Linked DNA regions of Kluyveromyces lactis. The protein of the gene in region 2 interacts with the protein of the main gene of each other region in a biochemical or structural test. Links are inferred from orthologs where the notes say so. Each region holds a gene or a part of one and is shown on either strand. Other genes may lie near its edges.

Evidence for each region.
Region 1: the proteins of GET3 (region 2) and MDY2 form a complex in vitro, tested with the Saccharomyces cerevisiae proteins (2 studies listed by BioGRID). The link is inferred for Kluyveromyces lactis from reciprocal best matches to the Saccharomyces cerevisiae genes GET3 and MDY2.

The regions. Positions count from the first base shown.
Region 1 is NC_006037.1:674,375-676,999, forward strand, and holds MDY2 (Mdy2p), read right to left. Parts: upstream 1,431-2,625; coding exon 795-1,430; downstream 1-794. Other genes in the region: Rab GTPase-activating protein MSB3, read left to right, coding at 1-683; SHR5 (Shr5p), read left to right, coding at 1,658-2,434. UniProt on the Saccharomyces cerevisiae protein: Required for efficient mating. Involved in the production of alpha-factor, the KAR9 and TUB1 location to the shmoo tip and nuclear migration into pheromone-induced shmoos.
Region 2 is NC_006041.1:143,348-146,382, reverse strand, and holds GET3 (guanine nucleotide exchange factor GET3), read right to left. Parts: upstream 1,617-3,035; coding exon 567-1,616; downstream 1-566. Other genes in the region: ATG16 (Atg16p), read left to right, coding at 1-114; BUG1 (Bug1p), read left to right, coding at 2,170-3,035. UniProt on the Saccharomyces cerevisiae protein: ATPase required for the post-translational delivery of tail-anchored (TA) proteins to the endoplasmic reticulum. Recognizes and selectively binds the transmembrane domain of TA proteins in the cytosol.

The DNA.
Region 1 (2,625 bases), on a different chromosome or scaffold from region 2:
ACCAAGGTGTGCTTTTACTATGCATAAAAGAGTATCTGCCACACTTTTGGCAAAGAATATATTCCAATAAAGATCAACAACACAGTCCCGGCCTATCCAATAAGAACGAATTTCTCTATAAGTTGCCACCAGTCACACTCTGTACTGCCAGTTGGTTCATGAGCTGTTTCATAGGAGTAGTACCTATTGAAGCTACCTTACGTATATGGGATTGTCTCTTCTATGAGGGTTCACACATTCTTTTCAAGATGTCGTTAGCGATCATCGAACTAAGCGAGACCAATTTACCAAAATTAAATCACGTTAGCAGCCGAAACTCAGACGATGAAGACATGGAATTATTCCAAGCTATTCAAACATACCCTAGACGGTTGATAAACCCCAACGATATTATAGACAAAGCCATCTTCAAGAGGAGATTGAGATTCAATGCACTCAATCAAGAGGAAATCGAACGATGTAAGAAGTACGTTATCTCTCAAAGAGCCAAATACAAGAACTTCCAAGATGTAATGAAGAATGAAACCACCAACTCCAATAATAAGAGAGACTCCAAATTGGCACAGGAACTGATCAATGAAACCTTTTCTAACGAAGGATACGGATTCAAGAAGGGTTTAAATGGGGTAAATTGGAATAATAACATCAAAGAAAGAGTACGTAGATTGAGCAGAAAGAGGTAATTCTCTCATCACCAATGGAAGAAAGAGCAGAAATATCTAAAAGTATAAAATCACTACATATATAACCGGGTTGTTTTGCATTATGGACCAACAAATGACATGTTCTATCTTTTACTTACTCAACTCCCAACCTTTCTGTAGCCTTCCAAGGGCCACTGAGGCCGTGCTAGCATCCAAGCTACTCTCTAAAACGGTTCTAATTTTATCCCAAGGCAAATCAATATCTGTTTGAGATGAAAGATCCAACTGTGGATCCTCCATATCGACATCCATCAACTCAAGTTCAGGTTCAGGTTCCTGCGCTGGTTTCGGCAAAGGTGCTGTTTCCACAGGTTTCTCTGCTTTGGAAACCATTGCGACAAGGGATATTTTATCCTGGTTCAAATCGGAGACCAATTGAGTGTCGTGGAGGACTTTACCCTTTAACAACAACTTGATTTGACCAGTTGTATATATCTCAGGCTCGGTTTCCACTAAGAATTCCTTGATCTGACCCACGGTATCGGTAGATTCGAAGCTTTTGGAATGAACAAATTTAGGCGCTTTGATCGATTTGATGGTAACTTCTACAACTTTAGAGATACTCTTAGAATGTGATTTACTTGGATCATATTTGTACCTCAATGGGGGCAACGAAACACCAAGGTTTGTAACTTCATGTAATGGTTTGCGGTAGTTCGATGCAAGTTTTGGCTCATTCAAAGCGGCCAAACTCAAAAATTTACCAACGAAATCAAGTTCAGACATGATTGGAGGTGGGATGTGCGATATTGTAGTAGTTTAGTTCCTTATACTCCCTTATACATCTCTTCATTAGATGTCTAACTTGTGTTAGTGTTAATCTGAACATAAATATCAATTCCGTTAAATTTATTTCAATTCCTACATAAAAGGGTAAAAACACGAACGATATCAGATCAATACGGGAAATAAGAGGTAGAAACGGCATTCTACCAGGTAACATTGCAACACAAATGGTATCACTGGTACTGGCAGATACTGCAGACAGTTCAGATCTATCTAAAGCTGCGATTACCGTTGAAGAATCAACTTCTGCACAACAACCGAAATTCTTCAATTACCATGAATTTGTGATTACAAAGTACAGAGCACTAGATGAGGAATCATGCGAAGAGCATGGACCTGAGAATCCAATCTGCATCACCCATTTTCCAAACATATACGTACCTGAAGAAAGCGATGAATTTAGAACCACTAGAGTCGTTCGAATTCCCAGAAGGTTTGAGTCATCCACAGAATTTCCTAATTTCAGCACACAGTTACCTGGGTCTGAACCAGCAGCCTTACCAGATACTCACAACAAGGAGTTCGTTCCGGCAGGAGAGTTTGAAGGCCAATGGTATGGCGAAACGTCAGTGAGCCCATTATCAAACTATTTGGATCAAGCGGAATGGACTGAAATTGTAACTCGAATCAATTCACTCTTAGAGGCTGCATACAACCCAATAACCAGAAGAAATTTTGTCAACGTCATATTGGACCTCTTGACACTGAACTTATGGAGTATCATCGAGCCATACCTGTTCGTTAACCCGTTGCAATCAGTTGAAGACTATGTCTCGGAAATCAATCGATCGGAATCGTTCAGATTGAAGGGCATAAAGATCATTCCGCCCCGAGAAAGCTCATATCTATCGGTATGTATAGATAGCCCAGCATGGATTAAACCATGCACAGCCATAAATGAACCCTTACTAACCCATTGTGACACCCTTATCGTCCTTCTTTAACCAGCTTGATGTTGTAACACCGATGCCCAATCACTGTTGACGGCGTTGAAACCTTTAAGGAAACATGCAAAGGAAACAAAGCAAAGAATGACACTTTAATAACCACCACATGACTGATTTGCTTGAAAGGATTCTGTTGATGTGGTCTAATCAACCTATAAAGGGCACGAAGCATAGCATCAGATAATAAG
Region 2 (3,035 bases):
AATCTTTTACAGGAAAGGTTGACACACATTCAAGCAGAATATGACACCTTGATTGAACGATGGTTACTAAAAGCACAAAGAGAGGCCGATATCATGAATACGAGACTTAAATAGATATGACATACTCTATATGCCTCAAGTTATAAATGAGTTGCGAGTTTTATAAGTGATTTGAAGTTAATTCCCTGCGACTCAATGGTACATCAAATCCCAAGTGCATGAAACTCTTTAAAAATTCAGTTTTCCAAGAAATTTGCTTCAGTAGCTCAGTCGGAAGAGCGTCAGTCTCATAATCTGAAGGTCGAGAGTTCGAACCTCCCCTGGAGCATTTCAATTTACCAAAATTTTTTTAGCTTTCGGATCTTTTCGTTTACTATCACGAAGCCTGAAGTAATAATGTTTTCATGTTGCAACTAAAGTAGATGTTTAATGCTACATTATAGAGGCTAATTCGATGCAATGATTCAATTTAGAATCTGCTCTGCAATTATTTAGTGTACAAATAATAAAAAATTATAGATTGGCCGTGTAATGCTAGGTATCAATGATTCATATTTATCTTCCTTTCAGTCTTGTTGTTCCAATTCATAAATCACTTTGCTGTCTGCAACTGGATCGTATGGTTTTCTCAAGAATTGGGAGAATTTTTTCAAGTTGTTTAAACCTCTAATTTCACCTGCACACAATGGCATCTTAACGATATGGAAATCTTCGTACAATTCATCAATTTGGTCCAAATACTTCTTTTGCATCTTCCATCTGGATTGGCACCTTTTACAGCTGTCTCCTTCGTCATACTCAGCAAATAATAACTGGTTTACAATGATGGAGTTCACGTCCATATCGTATGAGATCAATTCCTGTACCAATCTTTCAGTTTCGTACAAAGACAAGAACTCACTGATACAAACACAGACAAAAGTTGTCATATCAGGATTGGTGAATTGTTCCTTGATTTTTTCCACATTAGACTTCAATTCACTCATTTTACCAACAAGATCGACGTTATTGGCACCAGCCAAAGAATTCAACATTGGTCCCAATCTTGCAGTGATTTCTCCGAATTTCTCCAAGAGTTTAGATAGAGTGCTTGGTAACTGTAAAAACCTTAGAGTGTGACCTGTTGGTGCGGTATCAAAAATAACGGTATCATACCTGTCACCTTCACCCTGTTCTTGGTTTTTGATGTGTTTCATCACTTCCATGAAAGAAAGTGCCTCATCAATACCTGGAATCGATCCTGTCAATTCAGATAGTGCACCACCTTGCAAAAGATCACTGAACTCTCCCGATCCAGTTGCATTATTGGCAACAGCCATATCATTCATATCCTTCAAAGCGGCAGAAGGGTCAATCTCCATACATGACAAGTTGTTCATCCCAGTGACTTTTCTTGCATCTTTACCAAACTTCTCACCGAAGGCGTCGCTTAAATTGTGTGCAGGATCTGTAGAAATCAATAGATATTGTTTCTCTGGTTGTGCCAAAGCCATTTGAATGGCAATCGAACAAGATGACGTCGTCTTACCGACACCACCCTTACCACCGACAAATATCCATCTGTGTGTTGAGGAAGTTATCAAAGAGTTTAGATCTGGTTCAACTGTTAAATCCATTGTACTTTTCCGCTTTACTTGGTCTCAGGTTTACACACTTACTGATTGTTATTCCTACAGTTGAAATAAGAGGGCGTCTTAGTTGTAAAACTTCTGTTTATCTACGCATGTCGCCACTAAAAGTGACAACAAATGCTAAATATCTTGCTGAAGACTTCTTCTACGTTCTTTTAAAGAACACGTCACTATATACGGTGGTGATAATAATTTGATATTTACCAATCGCATACCGAATAATAAAGAACATGGTACAAATACTTTGAGTTTGCTTCTCAAAAAGTCTTGAATCTTGTTCTCTTTCGAACCTAAATGGCTTTGAAACATTGTGAAATTAAACGATATTATTTGATCGATGTTTGCCTCAATGATGGTGATTCCTTTCTTATTAAATATGTGTGAACCATAACGACACGTTTAGATCAAAAAAAAAAGTTGCCCCATATGAAATAAGAATTTACATGGTGAATGCCAAATCTGAAACAATTGCGAGCTAAATATTAAAACCAATTGGCGTCTTCAATGCAAGTGAGTACACACATTCGAACAGTTGATTATGTCTGAACTATCCCCCGAGGAAGAAAGAGCCAGAAAGCTCGAAGAAGCCAAGATAAGGGTTGAAGAGTTAAAGAAGAAGAATAAAAACAAGAAGAATAAGAAGAAGAAGGACAAGGAAGATCTTGAAGCAGCTGAAGTCAAAACTGAAACTGAAACTGAATTGGAACCGACTGATACTAATGTATCAGAGAGTCCGGTTCATTCAGATGAACAACCAATCGTGGAAGAGACAAAAGCTGAAGAAAAGGCTGAGATAAATGCTGATGCAAAGGGCAATGACAACAACGAAGAGAAGTTTGAAAAGGAGTCTGTGGAGAAGTCTGAAAAAGAGTCTGCGGAGAACAAGAAAGACTCCGAGGAGGAAGTCCTCGAGAAGGAAGCAACTGATATACCCAACCCAACCGAGGAAGTGTCTAAAGAAGCTTTTGCAGTTCAACAAAAAGAGGAAGAACCAATAGAGGCAAAAAGTACAGATGAAGTTGAAGAATTGTTTGGCGGGAATGATGATAAAGAGAAAGATTTCCTTTCGACGATACAAGAACAGAAAAGCCAAGATGAAGTAATAAACCTCAAGGAAGAAGTTTCAAAGCTAAAAGATCAAGTAAAGCAATTGAAGTTTGTCAACATAGATCAAGAAAGCTCCATAGAAGAGCTTGAAGAACAGATAAACATCATGAAATCTCAACTCAATGATAAAACTGTACAATTGCTGTCCGCTCAGCAGGAGCTATCTACGTCTAGACAAGAAGTAGAGCAGCTTAGAGCAACACAATCACCACAACTAACCCCTGTGGAATTCTCTTCCTTTGATAGACATTCTCCATCCAAATTCGAGCCATCGAGACAGATTCAGCATCCAACGAC